Arabidopsis thaliana: one gene and its partners. The protein of the gene in region 1 interacts with the protein of each later gene in a pairwise test. Each region holds a gene or a part of one and is shown on either strand. Other genes may lie near its edges.

The links.
Region 2: the proteins of AT3G56770 (region 1) and LHW interact in a two-hybrid assay, tested with the Arabidopsis thaliana proteins (one large-scale study listed by BioGRID).
Region 3: the proteins of AT3G56770 (region 1) and AT1G64625 interact in a two-hybrid assay, tested with the Arabidopsis thaliana proteins (one large-scale study listed by BioGRID).
Region 4: the proteins of AT3G56770 (region 1) and MYB11 interact in a two-hybrid assay, tested with the Arabidopsis thaliana proteins (one large-scale study listed by BioGRID).

The regions. Positions count from the first base shown.
Region 1 is NC_003074.8:21,026,779-21,034,219, forward strand, and holds AT3G56770 (basic helix-loop-helix (bHLH) DNA-binding superfamily protein), read right to left. Parts: upstream 3,977-7,441; 5' UTR 3,841-3,976; coding exon 3,613-3,840; intron 3,548-3,612; coding exon of another isoform or gene 3,439-3,547; exon of another isoform or gene 3,350-3,438; intron 2,889-3,349; coding exon 2,424-2,888; 3' UTR 2,124-2,423; downstream 1-2,123. Other genes in the region: AT3G56780 (FBD, F-box and Leucine Rich Repeat domains containing protein), read left to right, coding at 4,835-5,857, 5,957-6,079, 6,196-6,498; AT3G56790 (RNA splicing factor-like protein), read right to left, coding at 7,057-7,441.
Region 2 is NC_003071.7:11,647,199-11,656,587, reverse strand, and holds LHW (transcription factor-like protein), read right to left. Parts: upstream 6,230-9,389; 5' UTR 5,859-6,229; intron 5,772-5,858; 5' UTR 5,694-5,771; coding exon 5,599-5,693; intron 5,141-5,598; coding exon 4,861-5,140; intron 4,750-4,860; coding exon 4,690-4,749; intron 4,612-4,689; coding exon 3,586-4,611; intron 3,494-3,585; coding exon 3,392-3,493; intron 3,319-3,391; coding exon 3,205-3,318; intron 3,125-3,204; coding exon 2,999-3,124; intron 2,898-2,998; coding exon 2,748-2,897; 3' UTR 2,445-2,747; downstream 1-2,444. Other genes in the region: AT2G27229 (Pentatricopeptide repeat (PPR) superfamily protein), read right to left, coding at 7,031-7,405. UniProt on the Arabidopsis thaliana protein: Transcription activator that regulates root development; promotes the production of stele cells in roots. Coordinately controls the number of all vascular cell types by regulating the size of the pool of cells from which they arise.
Region 3 is NC_003070.9:24,013,167-24,021,299, reverse strand, and holds AT1G64625 (Serine/threonine-protein kinase WNK (With No Lysine)-like protein), read right to left. Parts: upstream 4,645-8,133; 5' UTR 4,423-4,644; coding exon 4,328-4,422; intron 4,142-4,327; coding exon 4,052-4,141; intron 3,959-4,051; coding exon 3,895-3,958; intron 3,755-3,894; coding exon 3,713-3,754; intron 3,654-3,712; coding exon 3,564-3,653; intron 3,488-3,563; coding exon 2,711-3,487; intron 2,618-2,710; coding exon 2,516-2,617; coding exon of another isoform or gene 2,471-2,515; exon of another isoform or gene 2,443-2,470; coding exon 2,119-2,442; 3' UTR 2,029-2,118; downstream 1-2,028. Other genes in the region: WNK10 (with no lysine (K) kinase 10), read right to left, coding at 1-154, 234-391, 478-698, 801-1,028, 1,145-1,182, 1,330-1,380. UniProt on the Arabidopsis thaliana protein: Transcription factor that may regulate root development.
Region 4 is NC_003074.8:23,150,870-23,158,512, forward strand, and holds MYB11 (myb domain protein 11), read left to right. Parts: upstream 1-3,760; 5' UTR 3,761-3,888; coding exon 3,889-4,021; intron 4,022-4,437; coding exon 4,438-4,567; coding exon of another isoform or gene 4,568-4,571; intron 4,572-4,733; coding exon 4,734-5,502; 3' UTR 5,503-5,716; downstream 5,717-7,643. Other genes in the region: ATERDJ3B (DNAJ heat shock family protein), read right to left, coding at 169-327, 422-493, 592-669, 756-815, 955-1,041, 1,128-1,244, 1,500-1,611, 1,952-2,087 and 2 more; AT3G62615 (uncharacterized protein), read right to left, coding at 4,491-4,571, 4,953-4,985. UniProt on the Arabidopsis thaliana protein: Modulates overall growth by reducing the proliferation activity of meristematic cells and delaying development. Flavonol-specific transcription activator involved in the regulation of several genes of flavonoid biosynthesis.

The DNA of each region.
Region 1 (7,441 bases):
TTTTTTGTTTTTGTTTTAGACAATTGTTATTGGGTCTCAGTTTCTGAATGTGAATCAGTTCTTAGCCTGGCCCAATACAATACTTACTAGTGGATATCGTTTCGTCTTTCACCTTGTTACTGGACCTTCAGCCGAAGACTTGTCGCTTTCTTCCACTGTCATAAGTAAAGGTCAAATTATTTCTATTTCTAATGTCATTTATACAAATATATGTAGAACATTATCTGTTTTTTCTTATTAGATACTACTCGAGCTAAATCAAATTGGGCTAAACCCATTTAACTCAAGACGCAGCTAACCTAGCTAACAGTCTTAACACTACTGCTCACATTAAAGAGTGATTGCTCTTCCTTTTTGTCAACATTTTAGTGTGTTGTTAGTGATTGCTCTGCTGTAAATCCATATTCCAGAAGAATATACAAATTCAAATTGTACTTTGTTACTATAGCTTATTTTCAAAATGGAACTTTAATTATTCAGTTTTTGTGAAAAGCTAAATTTATGTTTTCTTTTTGGTCGAGAGGTTGAGTATCGAGGAGACACCAACTCCATCTACACCATCACGCTTACTAGACATACTTTCTCGATTTATATTTTTGCTTTACTCTTTTTTATTTCTTCAAGCTCAATATGTTATACTCTCTAGTATAGTCTCCCAAACTGCAAAAGCCTACACATTTCACGTCAGAGTTTGGAGAAGTTTTAAAATGTCCAACCCCTTAAATGGTCAATAATGACAACAATTCAAGAATTATATAACATAAAAGTCTGTAGTTAATTGCTCATATTTTTCATATATACTAACCTTAGCCATCTCTCGACCATTTATCATGTTTCAGCACCAATCAAAGCTTTACTTAGACCACATCTTCTATTTTCTCTCCAAACAGTGGAGCGATGTGAATTTATCAATTTAAAATACAACAGCTATAAATCCATTTATAGCTAGTTGAAGAATGTGAATTCGTGCCTTACTTGGTGAAAGAGTAAAGAATTAAATCATAAATAATAATCCTTAAAGGGTATTCAAATGTAAAATAAAAGAAAAAGGAACTTCAAAATCATCCGATGTCAGCACAGGAAAGTGAAGGCACTGTGGTATCGAGATAAATAAATTAATCAAACATGCATAAGTTAAGAAATTCACCCATACATCACAATGAGTCTACTTTATATATTAAGAAATTAATTCATCCCCACAATCCATATTATAGAGTAGAGAAAAATAGAAATGCTTTTTGTCTCATCGAAGAATGGCCCCATCAATTCTATCCTTTTCTCGTTTCTATTTTTTCACGCCTTTACCCTGCCTCTTCATTGTTTGTTTACTCTTTTTTCTAATCAAATAGTAATGTTTAGGGATACAATTTAGTACTCATAATATTTTAGCTTTGCAAATTTTATGAAACTGCAAATAGTTTTTAATCTTAAAAAACATTCTGTCTTGTGGTACTGTTTCTTGTGTTACACCTTCTCGCAAATACGGTAAAAGTATTACCTCATTCTCAAGCACTAATCCGTCCTCCACATTTACTAATAACAAATAGTATATTTATTTACATTAACAGAAATAGGTTTTCACATTTGACGAAAAGATTCTCCAGTTTCGTCATACCTACTCTGTTGTGAATCTGTGCTTGCTTTTTCCATGTGCTCCAAAAAACCTAGAAGTCTAGTATACTAAATAAATTTGATTTTTTCTTAATATATTATATACAATATGATCGATTCATACGAAGGAAAAAAGGTGGTCAAACATATATAGATAAATACAGTAAATATAACATTGGTTAAAAATTTCTTCAAGGAAGACATAAAAACAAATGAAGGTACAAAAATATTCAGAAAGATACGAACAAAAGGCAGAACTCTTTAGGGGACAAGATAACATGAGGTAGCTTTGAAACTCTAACACTTCTCCATATATTCTTTCATTAAGATTCTACAAACAGCTTCTCTTGACTGTCCTGCATCGTACGTTCACTTTATATACACCATTTCATGATGCTTTTAAGTTCTAAAATACATATACTGTTTTGAAAGTCTTGTTTCGCTGCAAGTACTTTACCCAATCACATCTCTTTGTTAGATTCTTCTGTCTGTACAAATATTCCCACAATCTAATAATCTTCGTCATCACCCTATACTTTACGTACCCCTAAAATTTGATTTAACTTGTACAAAATTATAGTTTCCTTTTCTTTTTTTGTATTTTCTTCTAAAAGAATCGGAAAAGAACACACAAATTCCTACTTACAAGTTACAACACATGTTTACACCCATTACTCAAACTTATAACTAAACCCATATAAAGTCTTCTTTTTTTTTGAGAAAAAAAACAAAAGATTTGTGGTAATTATACTCACGTTAATTAATTATATAATAAAGTTAAACCCTAAATAATTGCTCAAGTCATATCGAGATCAGACCATTATGATGTGATCCAGCGCACGACGTCGTTTTAACCTTTCTTCCCCACCACCACCACCATGTCCCACCATCACCGACTTGCTTGACCGTTCGAGTAAAGACTTGAGTGCGTTCTGTAGAAAATTCACCGACTGGACGCCGTGATGCTCTTTGTCAGCGGCCACAACGAGAACGTTTCTTGTTCGACCACCGACTGTTGTCATGTCGGCAAAGAGAGTTTCCATCTGAAGAGATTTGAGTGTCTCCATGAGATCTTTCAAGAGCTCTGGCCGGTCCTCGCAGCAAAACGATACCTTAAAGATTATCCGTCGATCGTCGCCTCTGGAACAGTCCTCAATGTTGAGTACACTGATTTCGTCAGTCTCCGACGGTATTGTTTCGTCGGTGATTTCTAGGGTTTGTTGTTTTAGTTCTTTGACTCGTTGAACCACTTTTGCTAGTAGTGTGGATTTGTCTGTCTGTGTAAAGAAAATTAAAACAAATAAAGGAAACAAGGAAAGAGAAAAGGTCAGATCATTAGAATTTGTCTTGATTCGAGAAATTTTGTCTTCATGTTTCAATTGTTTTCAAATGAGAAAAAAAAAAGCTCGATAACTTTCCCGACAAAGTGATTATCAGCTTCAGAGAAAAAAAGGGGCTTGTAAGCTTTTTATATCTCCTCAATTTTCTAGATATTCCCAGTACTTGCAGCTTTTTTATTATTCGAAAACATTACATTTGACTGATGTTAGTTTTAAAATGGTTCATTTTCTATAAGTGATATACTTCCAATATTCCACCTTTCTCACCAATAAATAAAATCTTAGCTAGACACTAGACTGTAGTAACGTATATCACACAAGCAAGATTAATCTGATTAAGACAAAAAAATTGTCATTTGGATATAAAGATTTAATTAAAAACACAAAATTCTGGTGAGATAACATCAAAACTTTAATCCTCATTTCATAAATCTTTTCCTAATTAAATTATATGCATGTTTAGACGAGTACTGAAGAATATGTAACTTTAGAAGTTAATTTCATATCTTAAATAACCCAAAAGAATTAATAGTTTCATCATGCTTAATCTTCCATTTTTATCTTCTATGCTTTTTATAATTTTCCGGTTCAAGTCTCTATCTAAGTTTCATTATAAGTTTAGAGTAGAGTAGTGAGATAGTAAAGTAAAAGATTTGTGTACCTTGGAGTTACAAGAGAGTAACTTGCGGAGCTTGTTGAGATGGGAATTGATTCTTGCTCTTCTCTTTCGCTCAGCCTCTTTATGGTTCCTCAGAGAAGCAAGAGCTTTGTCTTCATAAACCGTGGCAAAAGGGTCAGACGACGACGTCACGGTGGTGGAAGTAGACGAGGCACATAATCCTCCGGTGAGGAAGGCATAAAATATTTGATCTGAAACCTCTGGCTGCATTTTTTTGTTGCTGTTGTTTGCTTCTCCGCCGCCTCCCTTTTTGTTGGGTTTGGAGCTTTCTTTCGGTGGGTTCTGTCCTAAAAGAATATGACTATACTATAATTTATACGAAAATAAGCTTAGAGTGAGAGGAGATGTATGTACATACATATTTTTTTTTGTCGTCGTATGTACATAGATATATACTTAGGTGTTTGTAGAAATATTTTAAAAAAAAAAATTTGAAAAAAGGTTTCATTATTTTTCCGCAACCGAACGATTGCAATTGTATGTTTCATAACATTTTTAATAGCTCTAGATAACAAAAAAAATTGGGTAGTGAAGGGTGGCAACTGGCAAGGTATTCCAATTTTTGTTTACAAAGTTATCTTAACATAAAAAAGAAATATTTTACAAAAGCAAAAACTTAGAAGAAATTTTTTACTATATATCTTTTACCAAATAATATCATATCAAACTTTAATAAAAAATTTGTTAGTATATCTACACAACACATCAACAACTTCTATGTTTCTTCTTCTTTAAAAGGGGATTTATTGAAAGCACAATTTTGATATTTCTCATTTGCATTTTTATGTAATGGATTTTTTATCCTTTTCTATTGAAAAGAAGGAAATTAATTGGCTTTAAGACTCTGTTTTCTACTTGGCCCATATAAACACACCGAGGGATATGATTGAACCAAGAAATTGAACCAGAACATTAATCAGATCGGTTTAAGTTCATACTAACTGGTTATCTTCTTCTTTGTGGGGAAGTCGAAGGGTTTGTGAGATCTCATAACTCCGGTGAATCCTCTTCGTCCAGACTCCAGACTCCAGACTCCAGATCTTCAGAATCTACCTCGCACGAAATCTCGTAAGTATTAGTTGGAAATTATATTTATTAGTTATTGGAGAAACTTGATAAGCAATAAAGAGTTTTGACCTAAACAAGTTATTTGTAATTAGGGTTTTAAACATAGTCTAATGTTTTTTCGACCTAAACAGAGACAATGACAAAGAAGGTTTGTTCATGTATCAACGAGTTGCCCGACGATTTGATCTTGAAGATTTTGTCATTCGTTTCTACTAAACATGTTGTAGTGACAAGTCTTTTGTCAAAAAAATGGAAATCTCTTTGGACAAGGGTGCCTATACTCAAGTACGATGTTCGGGATCACACTAGATTTGAACGATTTCTCGACAAGTCTCTGTTCTCACACCAATCTCATGTTCTAGAAAGCCTTCATGTCGAATTAAGTGTGACCCTGTGGAATAAAGACATTGGACCATGGATTAGAACCGCGCTTCATCATCATCATTGCCACCTCCGTGAGCTAGAGATAGATGCTTGTATTGTCCATACCGTATTACCTCCTGAATTGTTTACCTGCAAAACACTTGTTGTCTTGAAACTCAAAGGTATAGTGATCGATGTGGAAGCTCCTCTTACAACGGTCTCTCTCCCATCCCTAAAAACTCTGCACATTGACCACTCGAGTTTATTCGACTTTGGATCCCTTCAAATGCTTTTATCCAATTGCAATTTTATTACTGACCTAATGGTCATAAGAGAATCTCGTTTCTTTTTTGCTGAGTACGACGTTTCTTGGTGTAAAACACTTATGGCCTTGAAACTCGAAGGCTTGAAGGATGTGATAAGCATTTCTTCTTCTTCCGCGGTATGTCTCCCACTCCTCAAAACTCTCCATGTTGCCCGCATGGAGGACTTTAACAATGATTCCTTTTGTCGGCTTTTATCCAATTGCCCTGTTCTCTCCGACCTAACACTGGAAGAAAAAACCAGTGATGTTTTGTTGAATTTGGATATCGACATGCCTTACTTACAAAGATTGTCGATTATCACAAGAGTCGATGCAGATTCCAAGCATATTTTTAGTTTGATGAAAAACTACACTCGAAAGCTTGCGATTATCGCACCTTCTTTCAAGTACTTCAGCATTCAAGAGTTGGCATATGCAAGCCGTTACCGGTATATTGTACGGGTTAGGCTCGGAGTTCCATCAAAATTAGAGGTAACTTTTTTCATTCCATGTCGTTTCTTTCTCGTGTTATATCTTGTTGGAACCATCACATAAATGAAATATCGTGTTTTTTTTTTCTTTTTTTTCTAGGATGCAAGTACCTTCAGTCGAATCGTGCATCTGGAGCTGAGCATATGTAGTGAAAGATCTGTGGAAATGCTTGTAGATTTGCTCCTATGTTTCACTAAATTGGTGGTCCTCAAGCTTGAACATGTATTCAGTTTTCTCCCTTTTTTCCTTTACCATTGTAATTTATACTAGTGTTTAATATTCGACCTCAATGATCTTATTATTAATAGCAGTTTTACCATTTTTTCTCGTGATCGCAGGTTTACTTACTAACCCCGTTGGGTCGTTGGGAACCGCCAAGTTTGGTTCCCGAATGTTTGTTGTCCAGTCTTGAAGCTCTAGAGTGGAAAGGGTACACAGGGAGATACGGAGATAAGGATCTGGTGAGTTATCTCCTGAACCATGCGCTTTGTTTGAAAACGGCAAAAATCTTCTATAAGACATATCCATGTGAAGTGGAAGCGAAGCAACAGATTGAAGAGGACTTAGCTTCGATGCCAAGAGGTTCAAAGTCATGTGAAGTTCTTTTGAATGAAATTATAAGAAACAAAGCAAATTGTTAAATGATTGCTAATATTTGGAAGAAACTCGCGGACATCTTATGATTTGATGCTTCACTAAATTCAATGTTTCATTAAAATTTCTACTGAGGTGTTTCACATTCTCTTGTGTTTAGGTTTTTATTGGCCTTCTGTTTCGTTGATCATTTGAAGCTATTCAATGAGCCCCGTTAGGAAATCAATTTAACGTAAACTGACTGCCATTGATAGGACCTAATTTGCATTTAAAAAAACAATGACACTAGAGACCTTTAATAGAAAACCACGAACTAGACCAAGTTACAAATTACAAGAGCAAGACAACAGAAATAACAAGGCTTTTGAAAATATTCAGACGCAAAATAGATCATAAAGGGATATAACATTCGTTTCTTAAACAACCAGAAAACATACCTCGAGTCCCACACAAAAAAAAAATTAGAACATAACACAAGAATTTATATGTAAGAGATGCAAACCAAGTTTAGAGCCATTGTTTGGTTCCAAAACAGCATCACTTAGCCATCATGACCTTAACAAACTCTTCATAGTTAATCTGTTAAATGAGAAGAAGGAAACTCTTCATAAGAAGAAGTCTTGGGTTGCTAATTCAGACGCAAGAACCTTCATTAGGTTGCTCAATTTCACCTTTGATTTTTGTGGTTCAAACAACGCTTGTCTAATCATCTTCTGTTTCTCCTTTTCTTTTGCCACACGCCTTAGAGTTTGCAGTTTCTTCTCTTCCTTCTTTGTCAATTTAAAAGGTTGGGGAGGTTTAAGAATATTCTGAAAAACATCTTTCTTGTGTTTGTTGTTGTTAACCATCAATGTACTAAGATTAATCACATGCCCATACTCATCTATTTCTCTTCCAAGTACATCTACACGCAGAAAAAAGCCCTTGGTCTGTTTATGTGCAACAGCCGTATCTATTGCCAGCTCCTGAAATCGTTTAACAGCTTCAAGG
Region 2 (9,389 bases), on another chromosome or scaffold:
ATTAACATTGACATTCGATAAAGGATATAGCGAAAAAGGACCTTGATACAATGCATTAAATAGTCAAGATGCATGCTAGTTGTTTATTACTTGACGCATCAATGGTTTGAAAAAACCATTTTTGATGATGATAAATTGTGTGACAGTTAATCTCTATGGGCTTTATTACGTTCATTAATCAAGACTCTATCGGAAGCAATCTGAACAACGGACTTATTAATTGTCCATATATAAGAGTTTAGCCTTAGCAACCAAAGAGATCTTCAAATATGTGTTCGACTGATGAATCCATATAAGCTCATAGGTGGCTTCTGATTCTATACTACACCTACGTACTTATACTGGGATGGCTATTTTTTAATTCAAGAAACCAAAGAATTACCAAGGTAGTCACAAAAAATCCAGAAATCGATCTTCTCGAATCATGCATGACCTGAAGCATTGTGTTAGTAGCCTCATATCTAGTATTCTATCCTACACGAACATGAGTAGGAGCTTGAAAAAGTGGCTTAACCTGTGAACTCCATAGATGATATATTGTTGTAGTACGATAGAGAAAACGTCTAATATGCTATTGATATGTCGTTGGTGAATCCAATATATAATTATCTTGTCTTTGCTGAAATGAACATAAGGGTCCATTGGAAACATAACATGATTTATGAGCGAAAAGCAGTGTCTTCTGATAGATCCTGCCTTCAACACATAGATATTTCCTTACACGAACTTGCCACTTATACTCTAAAAAATAAGCATAAGAGACTTAAATCCTTCATGTTGAACTCTCTGCGCAAAACAACAAAAAGAGATTCAAAAGAGTTATTACTAGCTATAGCTACGATATACCAGCAATGTAGAAAAATGATTCATTTCTTTAACGAACAAGGTAGTATCAGCCAAGGACGGCATGAAACCATAAGTACGCACGACATATAACTTATGCAGTCTATAAATAAGATGTGTTGGTAGAAAATTAGAGGTGTATTTAAGGTAGATTCATGCATATCTCGTTTTTCAATTAACCATGCAAGAAAACATTGGTAACATCCATTTCTGTCACTTCCGATCCCATCCATGAATAGCATCAAATCTTAACAACTTTACACTAGTCAGTTTGGAAAATGTTAAAAAACATTAGTGAAACACGTTCAATATATATCTCTCAAATTTTGCTTTGGCAAAAAAAATATCTCTCAAATTTTCAAGTTTAGAGACTTTTATAATGATCAATGTGGTAAGAATAATTACTAGTTTACTTACTATAAAGGTATGTATATAGTGTTTTGTACAATAACCAAAACAAAAGCTAAGTAAATCCATCTGTAGCAAATAGTTGTTTTCTTTGCTTCTGCTTTACTATATAAAAGATTCGCTAAAAGTGTTTATCCAACAAAAAAAAAGATTCGCTAGAAGTGAAAAAACATTCACTCTAGTAAGAAAAGTTTGCTATCAATAGAAACCTATCATTTTTATATTTTACAAAATATGCATATGTTCTAGTTACAGTATCAAAGAAAAAATTATCTCATTTTCTAAATTTATCAAAATTAGCTAATCATATCATATTAGAGGATAATGGGATCTTGGCTCATTTCTTTTCCTCCACACAAGACAAATCTTGCTGCATACCTTAATAATTTAGATTTCCTATATAAATTTATTTAGTTAAGAAAACCTATGTTACCTAGTATACAACTTTAATTTATTTTATTTTGGTCACTGATAGTATACAAGTTCTGGTTAATATTTACAACTGAAAAAGGTTACACCGTTTATATAAAAGAATATATACATCTGTAGCCTAGTGGGAAATCATCTCTAGTAGACTGTTGATAAAGTATTATTGGAAGCATATTTTAAAAGTGAGGAAGAAAATTGAAGGGCCCAAGAAAAATATAATGAATTTTAGTGAATCATAATGTGCTGTCGATTATCCCATCATAATCTATAGAGTGGAGAGATGGCTAAAGCAAGACACAAAGATGTTCATGCACCTTTTGCAGCAAAGTTTAGGTACCTCAAAAGTGTAAATAAAGCATTTTTGAGACAACAAACAAAAACGCAGTTTTGAGAATTTGATGTTGGACTAAGTTTGATCCACTAATTAGTAGTATGAAGAAAATGTAAATATTAGGAATGGATTAAGACATCCATTAGAGATTATGAATTCACATGATAGCACATTATAAGGCTGTTAACAAAAGTATTATAACTAACTATTATTAGCTTTTCTTCTATAGGCCTCACGTTTCTTAATAAAGAGTGTGTTTTATTGAAAGTAGAGCTTCTTGTGTTTTTTTTTTTAATAATAAGCTAATTATATACATAGAGTTACTAATCAAAGTAACATAAAGGTACTTGTAACATGTGAAGCTTTGTTGTGTACTGTTAAAGCTGTTGATGGACCGGTTCTTTTTACCGGTCTTGAAATCCGTGAATTGTTTGAACTCTTACTGGTCGAGAATAATTTTAAACAATTTAACTAAATTTTTTACAACTCCAAAACTGAATTAAAATTAAAAAATTCCACACAAATGAAAATTCGCAACTAATGTACAAAACATAAAGTTGAGAAAAAAAAACACACTTAAAAATCATCATCTCTGGTTTAGACTGACTTTTTAGTTAGTCATAGCGAGCCTAAAATCCTTGAGAGCGGTCCGCTCGTAACCTCTATATGAATCAAGCTTTTAACCAGCCCGGTTTATTAAACCGGAGCAATCCGGTACGGTCAATAATTTGTGTCATTACATTGAACAGCCACCAGTAACCGGTAAAGGCATTGTAGCTTTGATACCATCCAAAATAGTCTTAGAGTTTCCTCCACATTTCATTGTCTGCTCCAAAATATTCACTAGTTGCATGAATATTTCCATCCTCGTCACGTCGCGACTCGCCTACAATCCAATATCGACCCGGTTTCAGTTTAAATAAGATACATTCTAACACAATCTCATCTTTCCAAGTTAAACAACCTTGTGTAACTTATATAATATACCTCAACAGTGAAGCGAGCCCAAATCTTGTCTACTCGAGTTTCGATGACTCCCTTCAAGATCGTTAACCCTAAGCTTCTGATCCAATCTGCGATTTCTAGAAAGAATCCTCGTTGCTCGCATAACATCTGTTACAAAACCAGAAAACGTTCGATCAAAACCGAGATCTTGAGTGTTTTTTATTAAGAACCTTAGGCAGAAATGTTACCTCGACTTGGAAAATGCGAGGCGGGTTTATATCTTCTACGACAATTGGACACACCATAGACTTTGACCCTACTTCGAAAGCCCATGTTGCTCCTCCACCGTCCTCTTTCATAATCTTATAACAATACAACAAACGTTAGATCAAGAATCCATGAGAGACACCAAAATATTATTGTTTTATGTTATACCTTGGATTCCCCGGTTTGCTTCAGCTTATCAGAATGCTTGGAGACATTTTGCAAGAAGAGCATGTGCTTGATTGTACGTTCAAGGAGTGCATCAATGCTACACTGTTAAATAAAAACCACATGTACTCTTTGTTAGTAATAACCTTTCTTAGGGATTGTTTAATTTGCCAAGAACAGATAAGTTTTTCACTTACTTTTGCACCGTTTGGTATTATTTCACGCAGCTCTTTGACACGATCTTGGATCATTTGGCGATCTTTAGGCCTTGGTCTTGGGTTCTCTCCTGGTTTAAGCCTTTTCCGGTTATTAGCCGGTTTTGCAGTTTCATTCTTGTTCACCATCCTTGGACTGCCCTCACGCTTCAAGCTGTGCGCTTGTTCAACCCAAGAACTTATCTGAGACCCGTAGACCGATGATGGCCCCAATGGTTGCCCATGTTTCTTCTCAAATAACTGGCTACCTTGAGGGCTACTGTGAGACGGCGTGGTAACCGAAGAATTACTAACTTTAGTCAAGGTGGTTTTGCAGGACTCGGAAGTTTCGTCTGAGATCTGCTTTGTGGAGGAGCAAGCACCCGAGACCACGGCATCTAACAGATGATCTGTTCCTGAAAGTTCATACCCCGAAGAACCGAACTCAGGGTCCATTTCTTGAATGATCCGAAAGTCGGATAACTCTCTAGTGAGTACTTCTGTTCTCATCTGTGAAACTCCCCAACTGTTGTCACAACCTTTGTTCTTATCATCCAAACCCAACATATCAAACAAGTCGTCGCTTCCAAGCGAGCGTTTCGAACTGATGTCTTCACATGGGATTTGTTGCTGCTCTGCTGCATCCACATTAGACATACAAGAGAAGTTTTGATTCAGCCACGCATCTGGATTTGAAGGTACTGCAACTTCTCCAGCTGTTAGAAATCCTGTTGTGCTTTGCCATCCTCCTTCATGTTCATCCACAAGATTACAGGGAGATTCTTCAACCATTTGATGATCTGATGATCCAGTGGAGTTGAAATGTTGTTTGCTAGTTTCAGCTACGAAAGCCGAAGATTGGAGGATCTTATGTCCTTGAGAAGGTATTATCCGAGACACTGGCACTCCAATAAAATCAGCAGCAGGTTCATATGTTCTGTAGTTTTCAGATAAGAGAGCCCCCGGAACACATCCGAGCTGCAGGATAAGACCCTTCACGTCATTCACAAACCCCAAGTTCTCCATAATCTGAACACACAAAAAACAATTCACAGTTAAATCAAGAACAAGAATCTCACTTCACATAACAATGTAACTTGAACTTACAGGCAGAGAGGAACCGAGCTGAACAACACCGTGAGGAACAACCGGAAAAACTGCAACAGTCTGAAGAACAAACAAAATAAGCACACACAAACAGTTCTTATGAGCTTGAACATATATATACACTAAAGAAGCCTAACTTAGGATGTTCAAAACATGAAGAAAGTATCAAACCTGAATACCAGCAGAGAATTGGAGAAGCATCTCATTAATAACCTCGGGTGGATGAACATCGCGGTTAAAACTGTTAGCTAGAATCCATTGATGATGTCCAGTAAATGCAGCTCGGCCAACTAGACCTTCACCTACCAAAATGATTCGATTGTTCAACATCATTCGGTTTGTAAGCAACTGAACTTTCTCATTCCCTTGTGTATCAACACCAAGTCCACAAAGTCTTCTAGGATTCGAGCTCGATTCGGTTTCATTGTAACATTCCTCCCAAATCAACAAGCTGCACAAAAACAAGTAAAAAAAACACATCAAAAAAAAAAAATTAGAATACACATGACAAAAATATGCAACAATCGTTTAAGTTAGAATACCACAAAAAGACGATTACAAAAGATTTTGGGCTAAACAAAGACAAAACGAACAAAGACAAGAAATAAAAATTGAAATGACAAGAGAGTTAAAGAACTTGAACTCTTTAGACAATTCATAAACAAATAATAAGGATATAGTTATTGTCGACAAAACAACTACAAATCGAAAGATTCTTTAAGACAAACAAGATCAAACCAAACACAAAACTCCAAGAATTAAACAGAGATAAATAATTCTAGTCATCCTCGAGATCTGAGTTTTAAACCCTTATCAAAAAATTCTCAAACTTTAAACTAACAAACACTGAATATATTTGACTGAATAAAGTTTGACACTTTATTAGAATTAGGAGAATAAGAGTGGTACCTAGAATTTTGACAGCCAATTTTCCAGAAAACAGCATAAGACCATTGATTATTAACACACATAGACCTTAAAGCTTCTCTTAGTAAAACTCCCATAGCTTTTCTCTTTCTCTTCTCTCTTCTTTAAGCTCCAACAAGAACAAACTTTTTCACTTGCAACAGTGCAATTTCAAACTGCCCAGAAGAAAAAAATCGAAACTTTAGGTCTAAAAACAAAACTTTTTAACAAATCTACAACAATCAATAAAAACCCATTATTACATTCTTTAAGAGGAAAATGGATTTGAACAAAGACTAACTTCCACGGCAAGATCCTCTTCCAGCTTGTTTTGTCCTAAGTCCTCCACTTTGTTTTCTTTCAGGATCTAAACTAAAAGCGATCATACTCCGACATGCCATTACTTCCGGTAATAAGGAAGAGAAAAAAAAACTCAAAACCCCAGAAAAGAAAAATACAAGAAACTAGTTAATCTTCTTCACAAGATGCTCCAAGCTTCAAGCTTTAAGATTCCAGTAACACCAGCCATTGATAAAACTTGAAGAAAATTAGAAGAAGATGGAGAAGAAAGCAAATGGAGATTATTTGTCTTTGTTTTTTCTCTGCTTTAATGTTTCTTTTCTCTGCTTCTTGGTGAAAAAAAGATTGAAAAATGAGGAAAAAGTACCATCTTATTAAAAACAAAGAACACGATGAATTCGAGAAAGGGTATCAATGTTTAGTAGAAATTACAGGATTGTGCCACTGAGTGGGGTAGTCGAAGTCTTTTGTCTTTTTCCGATGGTGCTAGACGAATAATTTATTGTTTTTTTCGTGAGGTAATATCCTAAAAGTTTGTTTTTAGATAAAAACAAAAGAGATAAAGAAAAAAAGTGTACCCTCGGAGATAAATTAAAAGACGTTCCTAAATATAATTATTAAAAATATATATGTATATATATATATTAAAATATTTAATAACGGCATAAGTCTAGAAGTTAGAGGATTTGTAGGATTATGGATTGTCAATAAATAAAAGAGATTTTCATTTTCTGGTATTGCTTCCCGTACACACAAATAATAAATACACATAAGTTCAAGGTGTTTAATATTGAGCTTATATTTAAAATAGGCATTTTAAATAAAGTTATTTCAAAATAGGTATTTTCCACAGTTGAATACAACAGTGTCGATTTATTGCTTCAATCGGGACAATTTTGTCCCTGTCTTTTTTTCCTTCTCTTCTTCTTCATCGTCTTCTTTCTTCTTCTTCTTTATCGAACATAGTTGCAAAATCTGATTAAATCGATTTCTTCTTTGTTTTTCAAGCAAACTTAATTTTTCTTTTTAATTACACAATACTAAACCCTAAGATAATATATAGGGAACCCAATCGAAAAAATTTATAGATTTTATGGAACTTTAGTTCTGATTTTGTGGAATTTCGGTTCTGATTTTAGAGAATTTCAGTTCTGTCCACATGACTACGATAGGCTGTGTCCATGGCGGAAATAAAGAAGCTTTCTTTGTTGCGACTTAACCTTCGTAAGCAAAGTTGGAATCTTTTCCCACCCAGAGTCTTCCTATACCAAGAATAAATCGGTTCACAAATAACAATGAGTTGAAACCGGTTTTTGAATATCGTCTCACCTGTCTTTTTCAAATTACCAGTAATCACCACAAGTCCATTCTTGAAATGATGAAACCGGTTTAAATCCCTCACAATGATCTCTCTCTCAGTGATTTTCCATATAAAAACTTGGATTCTTGAAAATCCGAGTTGTTGTCTTTGCAGGAGTGGCGATTTAGAAGATGATGCATATATCGCCATTGTTTCAATTGAATATAGGGAACACACACGATTTATTGCTTCAATTGGTGATGCAAATATCGAATATAGGAAACAGACACGACTTATTGCTTCAATTGGGTAAAAGATAATGCAAATGAGAGGAGGATAAGGATGACTTTTCACAAGAGAAAAGTACCTCTTTCGAAAATCATGTAAGGAAATACCTTAAAATAAATATATAACCAAGACAAATGCCTATTTTCTAATAAACTCTTTAATATTTAGATTATTTTATTATTTATCATGTTAAATTAAATTCTGAAAAACTCATTAACACTTTAATTTAACATCAAGCAATTCGTAATTACTAATTTAAAGATTTAACTTAGTTATATACTGATATTTTAGTGGGTGCAAAAAGGTCCAAACCATATTATTTTTTAATAGATTATTAACTACTTTTACTATGTACTAAGTTTTTTTTTCCCCATAAAAACGATCTATAATTACTATGATATTTTTAACAGAAAAACTATGAACATTATACTGAATCACTAAAAGAACATCGTAATACTTTGACCACAATAAAATAAAATAAAGATATAATTTGAGCATTGGGAGGTTTTTAGAAGGCACCACACCGAATGATTTCAAGTAATCTTGACAGTTTTTTTAAATGTAACTGCCAGTATGTTACAAAAGGATAATGAAAGTTCTGCGGGAAGATGGACCGTAGATAGCCTCTTATTGTATGGTTTGTACAATTTACAAGTTTAAAAAGAAAAATCCGACTGAGTGAGATTTTGTAGTGAAAAACATATTATTTGTGTTCATGATCCACGAAACTAACAAAAATACAAAATAGTTCACATGTCATCAATCACGAACGATCAATTTATCGGTTGTCGACCAATATATCAGTCCACAAAATCACTGTTTTTCTTAATTGATACTGATTTTAAAATTTAATCAGCATAGTTATTACCATTAAATAAATAAAAAATACTGATAGCAGAATTTTATGTAAAGTTCTGATAAATCATATTTATGAATATTGGTGGTATATAGCACATAACCATTGGTAGAGACATTTCATGTGATGCCATTCTCGTCCATGGTCAAATAAAGACAAATAAACAAACACTCAAAGTTTTGTAACGTTGATTTTTTTTTTCTTAATGTGTAACGTTGATACCATGTGAGAACACACATAACATTTATTGAAAATTTGTTTCGTCTATGTTTCTTGTGGAAAAAACATTTGCTATATACCAAATGAATATAGACACATCCCTAGTAACTTAGATGGTACATAAACTATAGGTGGTAATAAAGTAAATATTTGTGGTAGGCTGCAACTTTCGAGTGAAAACATAATATAAAAAAATGAATTTTTGTTTTTTGTTTGTCAAAAAACTGATTTTCATTTGTTATTAACAAGAAAAGGTAGATGAGAAATTGGGAGAAAGAAAAAAAAAGAGATGTTTTAATGCTTAGATGTCTCATAAACCATCGAGGTGGAATTAGTAGTTGTTGCTGTCTTGATGACGTCACCGGTGACAATTTGCCATTCACTCTCTGAATTTTCACAGAAGTGGCAGTGCCTTTTTTACTATCAGAGAGACCCCTAAAGACAATAGAGGCCCAAACTACATTCTCTTTTCAATTGTTTTTTTTTTCTTTAGCTCAACTTCAACTTAATATTAATCCAATAGATTCTCTTTTCAATTACATTCGCTGAATATATATATATATATATATATATTTGTTTAAGCATTCATTTATAGTAATTTATTAAAAAGATCTAAGAAAAATGTTATATTGTATTTAAAATTATCTTCATTTAATAAACTAAGGTTAAAGAATCTTACTTTAAATAGATTGTTTCCATACAAATAGAGTTTTTCCATATGACAGTTAAAATGTTGTAAAATATAAAGTATGTGGACGTAAATTTTTCGAAGTATATGGTTGATTCTTCTTCGAGCAAAAACTTTGTGTGCGTGTGGCCACTTAAACTCTT
Region 3 (8,133 bases), on another chromosome or scaffold:
TAAGAGTGGAGTCCTTGGCGCCATCTACTGCAAGGAGTTGGTCCTTCAGGAGCTCTAGAGCAGTTGGTCTAGAAGGAGCTGGGAGAAGACACTTCTCTATGAATTGCTTAACTTGAGGATCATCAACTTTGCTGAGAGATTGAGGTTTTATACCCTGCTAATGCAACAATGGTCAAGGACGATCCCTGTGTCGAAGAGAAATGTAAGACTTATATATATCAGGTCAGACTTACCGAGGTAACCTTCTTGTATATTTGAGCCTGGTTTCTGCATTCTCTGTATGGATATTCACATGTTACCATCTCCAACATGCACATGCCAAAAGAATAGATGTCGACAAGTTCATTATATTCTTCTTCATAAAGCTCAGGCGCCATGAATTCAGGAGTGCCTGAAAAACATACTCAATATATTCAGTTCTAGAAAAGCTTATCCTAAAACCAACAAGACTTAAAGAGGTTTTAATAGTATTATTACCAATCACACTTCGAGCAGTGGGTTGCTGCATCACAGCAGCGAGCCCAAGATCTCCAATTTTGACCTTTCCGGTATTTCCATTGACAAAAATATTGTCGCACTTAAGGTCACGGTGAATTACAGGAGGGGTCTGAGAATGCAAATAGTGCAGGCCTTTAAGAATCTGCCTTGCCCAGTTCATGATGGCCTTGGGATCAACTTTGCGGTGCTTCTTGCGATAACTTTGGACCAAGAGAAATGACAATCAATGGAAAGGCAGACGTAGATATATTATAAGAGATAATGAAAAGAGAAGAAGAGAGGAGAGGAGTAAGTAGACATACAGGGTGAGACTACCAGAGGTGAAAAGCTCAGTGATCATGTTGATGGACTTGTTATGATCATCAACCCAAGAGTAGAAGAGTTTGATGATGTTATCATGTTTAAGGGAATTGAGGAGATGGACTTCGGAATATAGCCTATCAAGTTGGCCAGGCATCTGCAAGACATCTTCAATGCTCATGAGGTTCCAAGCAACTTCAATACCTTCGACTTCATCAAATGCCTTATATCTACACGCGGCGAGGTAACAACAACAACAAGAGATGAGAAAAATACTTAAAAAGCAATCAGAGTAACATAGGCACTGCAATGAAAAAGTAAAGGACGTATAAACAAACAAACATACACAGTTTTGAAGGCTCCTCTCCCGAGAACGTCATTATACTGAAGAAAGAAAGAAGAAGATTGTTATCCTAAAGTGACCTTCCAAGCCATTAACGTAGCTATTACTTATATAAATCTTATCGAGGAAAAGTCTATAGATTGACATTGTTATCCTAGAAACCATGGAAATTGCAGATAGCGTCGTACCCTAATGTAGCGACCAGTGGGATCTTTCTGGACGAAGTCAGCCTCTTCCATGGCAGATATTCTAACCTAATGATACTAATAATCCGGAAGCAGAAGAAGAAGAAGAAGAAAGGAGGGATGATGATTGGTGGTTACAGAAGGGTGAGGAGATGGAAGGAGATTGGATCGGAGAAGGCCTCACGGGCGAAGCAATAGGAGTCGATCGCCGATCGGAATCGAGATCGGGAACAGAGGAGTGTGGCGGCCATCTCCGAGATGATGACGGTGGTGAGATGGTTCTGCGTTTGTGTCAGCGTCGTGTCTCTTATTATTGTTATTGGATAGAAGAAGAAGAGCATCTCCTCCATTCATCAACCATCCACCATTGCTTTTAGACAACGACCGATGAAGAAGCTTCAATTTCGCCACCAAATTTCACAAATATCAACAAAAATCAATTTCTCTCTCTCTCTCGAAACCCTAAAAACAGATTGAGGATTTGATCTTTGTTCAACTTTTTATTTATATACAGTGTCTCCCCTTTATCCTCGTCAAGGATAACGGGCATCTATTTTCTGATTCAGTCAGTTAACTGTTATCCACCCAAAACGGTGTCGTTACGTTCCTTTTTTCTTTAAATGGGCCTTCTTTCTTTGTCTTAGTCAATGTTTTAAAGCCCATACAATCTTCTTCTTTTTTTTCCACGAGCCCATACAATCTTCTTTGATGTAATGTTACTACTATTTATCAACAGATTCTTGTGTTGTTGTTGTAACAAAAAGAAAGAAAATCAAAGTGGTAGGTATTATACTATGATAATAAATCATCATGTTTGGTGTGGTGTTGAAAGAGCTGAACAAGTGAGTACAAGACTTGAATCCTTGTGACTTGTGGCTTTGCCTGTACGATGAAGTGTGCCCATATTTGTCCTTTTCTTGTTTCCATCACTCCTTTCAATATCTTCAATCCCAATCCTCTCACCACTTGTCCTATCTCCAAGAACTCCTCTCTTTCCTCACACACCATCTCTATCTGCATTTCTCCTTCCCTGTTCAATTCCTCCACCATTATCGGACATACCACTCCTTCTTCCCCCACTTCCAACGCCCATGTTCTCTCTTTCTCCTTCACCAGCTGATAAACATCATTCACTCATCAATACTCAAACACTTGTGTACTTACTGAATGGATATATTTGATTCATTACCTTAGACTCGTATGGTTGTTTGAGTCTCTCTGCATACTTGGCGAGGCTTTGCATGAACACCATGTGTTTTATGGTCAGATCCAGCAACGTATCTATGCTACACTGTTTAAATATATATCGAAACTTATTAGAGAATGCATTTGTTAATCTATAATTTGGATGCCCTAAACTAAACTATATTATTATTCAATTTACCTTAGCTCCATTTGGAATCATCCCTCGCAACTCCTTGATACGGTCTTGTATCATCTGACGGTCCTTAGGCCTCGGCCTCCTGCTTTCTCCTGCCTTTGCTCTTTTCTTCTTCACACCTTCTTCGTGAGGCTTCTTCCAGTTCCCTCCAATACTTGATCTCTCATCATCATCAATCCACAAACTCCGACTTGTTACTGTCTCCTCCTGAGGGAACAAGCTTGAGCTATGCGCCGATGATGTATCAAGCTTCCGTCTTTTGCTCTGGTTCACACCAGAGTACTCTTGCACGTTCGTGAGAGAACTACTACAAGTGTTGTTGCTAAGACTGCTGCTTATGAGCTCTGAGAAGAGTCCTTTAGGTGGCAAAGCCATTGTAGGCGTTTGAGAATTCATCCCCAAAATGTCGAAAAGATCCTTGTCAACTCCTTGGATCACCATGGAAGAGCAGTTCTGTTCTGGTGGATCAGCGAGCAGCTGGTATAGATCGTCCAGAGAGTAAGACTGGAGAATGTCGAACCCATAATCATCTCCATTGGTCAGATCTTGGTTGGAAGAAGCTGCTTCAGAGGAGATCATCTCAGGGCTGAGCAAAGAAGGAGGATTGTCCTCAGCGAAGATGTCATCAAAGCTAAATCCTTGAAAAGATTCAGCTGGGAAAATCTCACAATCTCCCAGTGACTCAAACAGAGTATCGAGATCACCGGAATCATGTGGCTTTAAACACGTCTCCTGGAGAGCTCTTGTTGTTTGTTCCAATATCTCTGTGCTCTCAAGAATCTAAAGATTGATAGTAAGTAATTAGACCATGACTTCCACAACAAGAAAACATTGTTATATAATTATATATGCAAACCTTTTGAGTAGATCCTAGCTGAACAACGCCGCTGGATCCTAGTGGAATGATTGCGATAGTCTGTGTATAAGTAAACTGCCGTATAAGAATCTGATTCAAAATGGATATATGAATCCTTAAACTTGGAGAGAAGACAAAATATAAATTACCTTAAAGCCACAGAGAAACTGATTCTGAAACTCATGTTCCCACTGCAAAACAATCAAACGCACGAATATCAAATCTTTTTTCTTCTTCATCATGAAATGTTCTATGCAGTCACTATATTTCGACATACATTATAGCTCACAGATGAGAAAAATCAAACACCAAGAAAAAGAAGTGAACAAACCTGAAACAATGTGTCTGAGAACAGCCATTGATGGTTTCCGGATGAAGCTACTTCTCCCACAATTCTAATTTCATCAAAAGAAAAGTATATTGAAGATATATAAACACAAACACAGAGACAGATATATAAAAGATTTGAGTGAAGTGTAAAAGCATACCCTTGGCCTAAGATAGGAGCCTGGAGAACCATATCATCAACTAGTGCGACTGATTGTTCATCATTGTATGCTTCTTCAAATCTCAATATCCTGATGGAATTCAACAAAACTAAATTACATTTATGGACACCAAAGTAGGGAAGCCACATATAAAACCAGAGGATATGCAATTCAGTCTTTTGCCTAAATCAACGGAAAACAAAACTAGTTTTATGCAAATATTATCCAAGACAGGAACATGCATATAACATTCGAAAGAAAAAAGAGAGAAATTACATGGAATTGATGGGATCATAACGCCAAAACACAGCATAAGACCATCCATGGCTTAAACAGAGACTCTTCAATATATGCTTATACTCTGAACCCATATTTAGGAATCCAAGCCGGGAAGAGCCCTTTTAATTTCTGCAGGATCTCGAACTCTTAAAAAGGACAACAACTTTTGTCTTCTCCAGAAACCAAACTCCAAAGATAAAGAAAAGCTGGAAACAGAGGAAAAATGTGGGTTTTTGAGTTTTCTCTTTTTTTCTTTAATTTTCTGCAGATAGAAAAAAATACAGAGAAAATTCCTTTGAGTTTTGCTTTTTGTTCAAGCAATTAAAAAGGAGTTAAGAGCTTTGTCTCTCTATATATATAACCAAACAATAACATGAAATGTTTGTAATTCGATAAGAAGTGGAAGAGCCTTTTTGTCTGAGGAATTAAATATATTACTATTATTTATTTGATGTGATTTGTCTGCCGGTGTCCAGTCACGCTTTTGTCCCGGAAGTGACGTGAATTACACCGGCTATTGCCGGTTTAGTGAAAAAGTTTGCTTTGATTACTATATATTTATTTGTTGTCTTTTGAAAAATTTAGGACGGGAGAGGATCTTCGAGGGTATAATTTCCATAAAGGGAGATTTTATTTTGATTTTACTTTTTATCATCGATTCATTAAATACTCGATACGAATTTATGATATACTTTAATAGTATTCAATATATTTAGATATGATTAATTAACTAACATTTGATGAAAATTTCTATAGTGGAAACTGGTGCAATGGAAAAATAAAAATGAGGAGAATGTGATCCCCACAACAGAGGAAGATAAATGGTGCTGTGGAGTTTCTAGCGATCATCTTCTCCCTCGTATCCTATATCTTGAACATCATATTAAAGCTTAACATCGACCGTTTTTGGTTGGAAAATATGGTTTAGAGTTATAAAGAAAGAATGACCGCCTCTTTAGTGTATGGGCCAATGAGGTTCCCAAAATATGTGTCACCTAAATCTTGAATTCTCGGTATGATAATCTTGACTTAAGTAGTTCTCAAATCTCGATCCACTGCCTCATATAATTATATCAACAGTCTAACACCAATGTCGTCAGCAGTCACATACATTCGTAGAGTATGCATTCATATATAAGCCAGATATATACATATCATAAGAGATTTGTTATACCTATATTCATCCAAATGTTTAGTTGTGGTCTCTTGTGGTACCAACCTAAAAAAAATAAGGTTATGCTTCCGCCTTAAGTCTTGAGAGCTACTATCTTTTTTCTTTAATATAACTAAACATCTTATTATTATCAGGAAACCATGCATGTTTAATTTTAAGTTTATATAGAAGATCACAAGCAAGGAAAAATGTGAATGTTAAATAGACTTGAACATTAGTTCATGAATAGTATTAAACGTGTTTTAATTTGTTACTTTATTACTTTATTTTAGCTATTTATTTGTACATGGTGCTATTTTGTACCTATGTTTTGAGTTTTCAATGGATTATTTATATCTTAAAACTTTATACTATATAAACTCTGATATCAACCTTCGAATTTCATGATTTTACTGAATATTACTATGGAAATACGATATAAAATAGAATTTAGAGAACATCAAAGGCATATATAGCAAACGTTAGAAATACATGCCTCAATATTTGAGACCCATTTTTGTTACTCGCAAGTCGCGCAACATCTCACACCACACATTACATGCCTAAGCCTAAGTGCCACAAATACATCACCTTTAAAAAAAAAAAAAAAAAACTTCTCGGCCTAAGCTAATGTACATGCACTTAATACACTTTTAGCTTCTTGATAGTGGTAGAGAATATCAATAGATATCCACAAATCTTGAAATGGAATAAGTGATTATAATTACATATCAAATGAAGAAAAACTCATCAATCAATTTATTTTTTGGGGTTATTAGAAATAGCCATAATTTGGTCTCTTATACTCATCACACGCTCAATCATGGCCGTTGAGAACAAAAGTCAACGGCATCAAGATTTTCACCTTAATCCTTTTTCGTCTTTAGTTGATTTATTGTCCCTTTTCGAAACTTTCCGTTCTTATTACAATTGTGTCCGAAAGTGGTGAAATAAATCCAAAAGTTGGATTTTATGTTGTACACTTGCTTTTTGTTAGATAAGCTATTTTAAAACTTTTCGTTAAAATATGTGACTAGAGAACATATTTTTCTGTCAAAAACAAAACAAAATTCCTTTATCGCTTAAAACTTAAGAGTAACTCTAACTAACTACCATTAGTCCACATATATATGTACTAAGATAGAGATAGTGTTGGATTCATACTTTTCTTTAAATTTAGAGTATTTTATTCATAATATACATAATTTTTGTTAGATTTGATAATATATTTTTACTATGACAGTTGCAAATATGTATTGTTTATGTGACAAATTCTTTATTCAATGAGTTGTGGAAAACAAGGTAAAACTTATTATATAATCCAATCATATTTTTAAAAACAACTACAAAATATTACGAATTTATATGTCATGGTTAACCGCTAAAAACTTCATCTTTGAAAGCACACAAAATTTTTAAAATCTTTTGCATTTGACTCTTAATTTGTTCGAAAAAATAGCTATGGAGAATATGTAAACTTTTTCTATATGAGAAAAATTTGTGGTTATTAGTCTCCTTTGTTATTGCTTTAGGTTCTGTGTCTTTTGTTCGATATCTATTATGAGACCAATTTTTGTTAGCCCTATACCCTAGTCTACATAAAATAGAAATGAGTTTCAGAGTTAATTTATACTTTCCATGTTTTAAAAAGAATGATGTTTTGGATTTTTCACCCAATTTAAAAAAGAATATTTTTTATTTTTATTATAAGTTTAGTGATATTAAAACTATTTTCTTGGTTGACAAATGAAAGTAATAATGAACTTGATACGAATAAGAAGAAGAAAAACTCCAAAAATCAATTTTCTAGTTTACACAACATGCATCCCCTCGAGGTCAACATCTTTAAGACTTCATGTAATATCCGTGTTTTCGTAATTTATCTTAATTCTAATATTTAAGGCTTAACTTATTTTAATCTTTCTTATTTTTGTTATCGTATATAATGATTCACCTTTTTTCTTGGTCTTTTTGTGTTCCATTGGAAACCAAGATAGTGAATCACATTTTATTGATGGAACATCAATTTCAATTATTGTGTCATTTCTTACAAACTGGGAAAATAAAACGTACTGATGTCTTCAAAGTAAAACAACCTTTTAGTTTTAATCAAACCACCATTACATATGTACTTTTCTTTATATACTCCCACAGTTCCCTCTAAGAATTAATAACTTCGCATTCTGTTTAATACATAGTATAATGTCTTTATTTGATCAGTCGATTGTCTCAAATGACTTTAGTTCTATATTCAATATTGAATGCTCAAAGACTCAATCGTTATAGATAGCATAGCACAATTTACACTATAAGACGTACAGTAATTCAAACATCTAAATGTACGAAAATGAAAATGACAATAAATATATAGTTAGGGATGCAATGGAATATGCAAAAAAAAGGGAAAGGGAAAACTAGGCACGCTTTGTCCCAAAGAAAGGACCAATTTCGATATTTGTTAAGAAACTCTTATGGTAACACCATCATGCTATTTCCCACTACCATCAACTATCATCATTCCCTTTTCACACACACACACACACACATATATATATATATAACTTTGTATATGTATGCAATGTCATTAATTAAGTTACGTATATAACTACAACCCAGATATACTCAAGGCTCATAGATCGTTGTCATTAAG
Region 4 (7,643 bases), 2.1 Mb from region 1:
CAAACAAAAATGACAACTTGATCAAAACGTCCTTCCGACTTTGTCTCCCCATATCTTTTTTCTTTCTATATTAAAACCTAATCATGTTATACATTAGGACCATCACATGTTCTTCTCTTTAATCCCCAAACTTCTAAAGAGAGAGAGAGCGAAAGCGAGAGAAGAGCACTAAGCAAAGACTTCTTTAATCTTCTTCTTCTGATCGTCAGTGAGAGAAGACGGAAACAAAACCTCAAAAGTGACAAAGAGGTTGCCTTTCTTTGTGCTGTAGTGAAGTGGCATCCCTTCTCCTTTGAACTTCTTTACTTCCTTCGGCTTTGTAATTCCCTGTTGTCGCCACACAATATTTAACCCATAAGATGATAATTGATGGTCATTGTTTCAAGTGTTTTGCGTGTATGGGGAAAGATATTAGTGTTACCTTGGAACTGATGTCAACTTCGTGATCATCCAAGTGTTTGAATGATTTCTCAAAACCAACTAGCGCCTCAACCTGAAGAAAAGAGATTTGGTGGAATCAGAAAAATGAATCAATTGTTGGTCTATGATGTAGAGATACTGATATAAGAGTAGTTTGTTGAATTTATTTACCAGTGTAATGTTCACGTTCATGTGTAGATCGTTGCCATCCCTTCTGAAACGGGCATGTGGTGCAGTTCTGATTCGGAACTGCGAAATGTACAACAATGGTTTATTCTCTCTGATTTTGATGTTTAGTGAAGTCAAGGATAGTGAAATTTAGGGAAGAGGCTAACCTTAAGGTCACCAGGGTCACCGTCAAGAATGGGTTCGCCGTCTTCATAGAAAGACACTTCCTGAAAAGTATTTGGTATTTAGAAACTAAGATCGGAAAAATCGATAAGCTCATAAATAAATCAAAATGAATTAAAGAGCTACTATGAAACGTAGTTTCGATTGATTTTACAATGAGGGTAGTAGAAGTTCGATACTTACTTCTCCATCTTTCATTCCTTTCTCGATATCAACTGTCACAAAGTATCCCTCCCGTTCGTATTTGACATTAGGGCATTTGTCACAGACCTGAGGGGAAGAAGAGGATACGTCGTTAAACAGTAATTAGGTTGGAACAAGACCATCTGTGACAATTGAACATATCCGTCCTTTACCTGCTCTGTCATCTGTTGGAACATTCCAGGACCAATTTGTCTGTGATAGACCTCGTTCCTGCAGTTACACTTTCTCTTTCCAGGAGCTGGTTTTATCACATTCTTTTCCCTCCATACCTGATAGTTCAATGTGGAACATTCTCACTGAGAACTTAATGCAATTTCTTTTATTTGCATTAATGTAAAAAAAAAAACTGTCTACTCTAACCAAAACATCGCCTGAACTGAACCTAAAGAATGTCTGAATGACACTATGAAATCTAGTTTACAAATTTCTATTGATTCTAGTACATTTGGATCAAAGTAACATTTCCCAGATGAGTAACATGTATTAGTGATGACAATAACATCCTGACACGGAGCTTAACATACCTTCATAGAGCCTCCCATGTACAAATCTTCTAGAGTTGCCTCAAGTTCCACAATTACGTCATCCCCCTTGACAACCTTCTCTTCTTCCTCCATCGAACCTCCACCAAAAAACCTATTAAACACATCAATAATCTCTGCAAATTAGCAATCTGCACCCTTTAAACACAAATGTAAAACATTATCCAAATTTAGGAACTATTCACGCTACAGAGTAAAGTCCCTTCTTTAAACACAAATGTAAAACGTTATCCAAATTTAGGAACTATTCACGCTACAGAGTAAAGTCCCTTAACATTACCAAATTCAATTGTATCCACTATCAATAAATAAAACTCACACGAATTCTATGTTAAGATGGGTTCAACAGGATAGAAGATCAGACAGATCCTAGTGACCCTGTATCTTGTACCTCTAGTTGGATCCTAAAGAGTTACCATTTGCAGAAAACTTACGAGCTGAAGATGTCCTGCATATTCATGCCGCCTCCTCCTCCTCCTCTTCCTCCATTTGCAGAAAACTGTTTAAGTCCCTCTTCACCATACTTGTTATATATCTCCCTCTTCTCCTCATCCGATAACACTTCATAAGCTATTACATCAAACACCAATACGTCAATTCTCAAAACTAAAAACGGGTGAGTTAACAAAGAGAGCAGAATCACACAAGTTGCAAAACGAAAATACCATTGTTGATCTCAGCGAATTTGCGAGTCGCTTCCTCATTTCCTTGATTCTTATCGGGATGATACTTCAAAGCTAGTTTCCTATAAGCTCTCTTGATCTGTTCATCAGATGCACCTTTCGGGACTTGCAACACATCGTAGTAACTCTTCCTAAATCCACAACACAGATTTTCTAAGCATTCACATTTTCCACACATTTCTGAAGGAATCGAAAGATGTTCTTACCCGGCAAGGACGCAGATGGCGTAGGAAAGAGCGAACAGTACGATACACAGCTCCGACCACCGAATCGCCATGGAAACGGAAATCGGATCTCTCCCAAGGATTACTCCAACCTGAGATTCGTTTCGATTTTAACAATGAAACCTCACAGAATGAACAAGAACGAAGATCTTCTTCGCTGATTTTTATGATTGGAAAACTCGAATCACTCTCTCTACTTGTTTTCGTGGAAACGATTCCAAAACTCGAGCCTCGTGGTCGGGTTACGTGTACACTGCAATGCTTAACCAATCAGGATTAAGTCTCTGACGATCGTAACCAATAAATATTAGCCACGTGGATAAACCAACGTCGAATCGCTGACTGTTCTTTTCGTCGACTTTAATGAGTACGACGTCGTTATACTCATATAATCTATACAAGGCGCATTAATAATGAAGCGGGCCTGTAACTCCCCTACGATTGTTATTCAATAAATGTGGCCTAACCCGATTAAAAACCCTAGGTTACTGGGCCCATACAAAATCGAGATTGTTTTATGTAAACCGATCTGGGGAGGCCAGATCCAAACTAGTTTTGCATATTTATGCATTATGGATTTTGTACCTACCATATTAAACTTGTTAATATAATGACAAAACCGCTGCTATGAGAAAATTTATTTCTTTAATCTTTATATAATCTAGACTATCTTAGTCACACATTACGTTGTGCATTGGTTAAACACTACTGGAGTATAAAACAAAAAAAGGTGGTTAAGTAATAAATACATATTTTGTTGCTTATTAATTACATGCAAAGAAACATAGACTGGTTTGGACAATCATGTCATATGTCAGGTCTCTTGATTCTTCGCATCTTCGACGAAACATTATTTACTAGACATACAATAATAACTAGACATCTCACACGAGTGGTCCCGATCCCCCACTAATACCATTTTACTGTCCATTGAAAAATAAAGAAACGTTGCTGACAATAGTAAACTAAATAAAATTGGTGTTTACATATTTTCCACGATACGAAGTAAAATATTGAGAAAGTATTACGCTTATGATTTTATTAATTGTTAGATGATTAACTGAATCCGAATTGAGCAGTATGATTAGAAACAAGTCAGAAATAATAAATGTATAACTAGTATTTAAAAAAAAAAAAAATGTATAACTAGTATTTAAAAACTATAGTTAGCATCTAATTAGAGACACTAGGACGACCCAGCTGGACAGCTGGTTAGTAGCTCTCGACCTATGATGAGCGCCTACGACTTTTGTTTCAACATAGACAAACGTGGCTCGTTCTATCACCTGAATATATAACCCACTCCTCTCTATTCTTGCATGTCACTCCTATAAATATTTAATACTAAACCAATCACTTTTTGTTGTGTCGTCACTTTACTTCTCTTTAAATAATCTCTTTCTCTAGTGATTGACTTTAGGAACAAGTGAAGTGAGTGATTTTTAATAATCGCCGGCCGAGAGAATGGGAAGGGCGCCGTGCTGTGAGAAGGTAGGAATTAAGAAGGGGCGCTGGACGGCGGAGGAAGACCGGACTCTCTCCGACTACATTCAGTCCAACGGCGAAGGATCATGGCGTTCTCTTCCCAAAAATGCCGGTAAAGTTTTTTTTATCTATACAGTACTCTGTCTCTCGACTATCGCATGCATCTCATAAGATAGTTTTTTTGTTTGGTCAAAATTTATAAGAGAATCTATATGCATCGAGAAGTTAATTAATCTTACGTACGGTTCAATTATACACCATGAGTTGTAAAAAAAATTAAAATAGAGACTTGATTTTTTTTTTTTCTATTTAATGTATCAGTTTCTATAAGGAATGCATAATATTTTAAAGTACATAAAGTGTTTATTGATAATTCAGACCAAATTGCCTTCTTGTTTTATTTACATGTATATATGGACTGTAACATCACAAATAAAACGATAATTTATTTCAATATTTAGGAAAAGATGAGTAATCGCTGCAGGCATTATTATGCCTTAATTAAAATCTGACGTACATTTTAAAAAGGGCTAAAGAGATGTGGAAAGAGCTGTAGATTGAGATGGATAAACTATTTGAGATCAGACATCAAGAGAGGAAACATAACTCCCGAAGAAGAGGACGTCATTGTTAAACTGCATTCCACTTTGGGAACCAGGTAACTTTTTCATTTGAACAAAAGTTTATTAATGTCGATATATTTCCAATAGAAAAAGTACACTATCACGTGAAATCATAAATCAAACTGTTGCTGTGTAACGTCGTGAAAAAAAACGTTTTTACAACAAAAAATAAGAATAGCGTCAACGCTAATTAAATTGCAGGTGGTCAACAATTGCGAGCAATCTACCGGGAAGAACAGACAACGAAATAAAAAACTATTGGAATTCTCATCTCAGCCGTAAACTCCACGGTTACTTCAGAAAACCAACTGTCGCCAATACCGTCGAGAATGCGCCTCCGCCTCCTAAGCGTAGACCTGGAAGAACCAGCAGATCCGCCATGAAACCCAAATTTATCCTAAACCCTAAAAACCACAAAACCCCTAATTCTTTTAAAGCAAACAAAAGTGACATCGTTTTGCCAACTACGACAATAGAGAATGGAGAGGGAGACAAAGAAGACGCATTAATGGTGTTGTCAAGTAGTAGCTTAAGTGGAGCAGAGGAACCCGGTTTAGGACCATGTGGTTATGGAGACGATGGCGATTGTAACCCAAGCATTAATGGCGACGATGGAGCTTTGTGTCTCAATGACGACATTTTCGATTCTTGTTTTCTATTGGACGACTCTCATGCTGTCCACGTGTCCTCATGTGAGTCGAACAACGTAAAAAACTCTGAGCCATATGGAGGGATGTCAGTTGGGCACAAAAATATCGAAACGATGGCTGATGATTTCGTTGACTGGGACTTTGTATGGAGAGAAGGTCAAACCCTTTGGGACGAAAAAGAGGATCTTGATTCGGTTTTGTCGAGGCTGTTAGATGGAGAGGAAATGGAATCTGAGATCAGACAAAGGGACTCCAACGACTTTGGAGAACCGTTGGATATTGACGAAGAAAACAAGATGGCTGCTTGGCTTTTGTCTTGAAAGATTTGACACCATGCATATGCCTTTTTCTCCGTTAGATTTTAGCAAAGACCCCACGTGGCAGGATCTGGTCGGTTTGTCAATAGAACATGTTTGTCCCCTAGCGTTCGTTTTTTAGTTTTAAATGTATTTATATTCTTTTTTATTTCTTTTCATGTGTAAATACGATTTTGGCGGTGGCAAATAAACAAAATAAAGTCGATCTTCTTAGTTCAATTACATATAAGCGATCCATTGATGATTACACCATTGATAGCCAACTTAAGTAATCTTTCGACTTTCGTATATATGTATACAAATATAATAAGAAATTTAAAATACAAAAAAAATATAAATAAAATTCAGTTCCATATTGTGAATCAGCAATTCTCACTATTGGTACATAGTCCAACACTTGCTAGTTGCATTCTAGGTGGAAGTATTTCAAAGAAACAAGTTTCTCTGATAGACTAATAATAGACCAAAACCCGAGCAAATTTCAAAGCATGTCGCCAACCACAACTCTTTTTTGTGTGTAAATGTTCACTGGTAAAGTGGTAATTAATGAACGTTTTGAATTTTGATTAAAAGCTATAAGACCATCTCCAACGAGAGGATGTAATCAAAAAATTGTTGGGCTCTCTTGTTTAATGACAATAAAAATAAATTAAAACTGATAAAAATCAAGAGAGTCGGCTTTCTGGAGAGAGTTTTGAGAATTTGAGAGAACCGTCGATGTGGCAACATGTGATTGGGTTTTCAATTTCAACAAAAAAATAAATGTGTGCGCGTTCTGTTCTATCTTCTTTCTCCTCTCTGCCCAAACGAAATTGACCAAAAGATGCAAAGCCCAATCATCGTTTCTTCTGAAAACTTTTCGCATTTGATATCTTTTCTTTGAAACTGAAATCAAGATACACAAACTGAAACCAATTTGTTCACCAAAAGAAAATAAAAATGCGTGGGTTTCGATTTCAAAGATATTCAGGAAAAGATCTCCGATAGCTTTCGTCTATGGCAACACTCTTTTCAATTCTGGGTTCGAGCTTCGTGGTTTTAAAAGCTTGTAATTTCGTGTGATCAAGCTCCTGCGACGCCGTTTGATGCGATTCAACTTTGAAAATTTGATGAAAAGCCTCTTGGTTATGCTTCTATTGCTCAGGTATTATAGATTATGGTGGAAACTTAACAATTAAGTAAACATGATTGAGTTAGAGTATTTAGGAGCTTGTAAAGCAGAAGGTCTTGGTGATGGACCCATAATGAAGCTGTATATTTATGTTGTAATTGAGGAAGATAATCTGGTCATAATGCTTTCTAGAATTAGCTACTCTTGCCGTAGAATTATTATCTCTTGACGTGGAATTGTAGCAACATTGTCAAACTCTGGTTATGTTTATACTAAGACAATATCATTTATTTGCTTTCTTAGGTTCACAGAGGAAGTATAAAGGGTAACAAGATGAATGTTGTTGTAAAGGTGAACATTATCGGAAGTTCTAGATGGGGCTGAAGCCTCTGCTCGAGCTATGACAGAGGTCGACCCCAAAGGAATTTTCAAGTCCACGGGTCTGTTTTCCTTTTACTGATCACTCTGTTTTTTTTCCTTTAACTTATCTATGGAGTAAATGTGAAGCCATACTAGTCTCATTTGAGCCCTCTAAAATGCAGGCTATGGTAACTATTTGTTTATGCTTGCTCCGTCAACCAATGAATCATTCAGACAAATGGTCATTTCCGATGCAGTCTCTGTTTTGATGCCGAGGTAACTGAGATTACTTATGGTAACTCTATGGTTCTTGATCATGGTTGGATTGACACTTTGAACAAGAAATGGGATTTGGTTCATTGCATTGAGGTTAGCTTAGGTTTGGCTTTTAATAAAGTTTCTATTTGAGTGGAATTGTAAAATAGAATTGATGTCTAGTACGTGTTTGATGAAATTCCTCTAAGAGTGAACCTTAAATCGTGTGTATTAAGCTTTGTTTCTTGATAAACAACTAATGATTTAGAGTTCTCTTCACGTTATTGTGATGGAAGTTTTATGTTCATACACTCAAATGTTCTTTTATGTTCGAACTCTTTGCTATATATTTGTTGTAACCAAATTTTAACCATAACACTTAAACACATAATCACAAATTTTCAAAACTTTATCTACA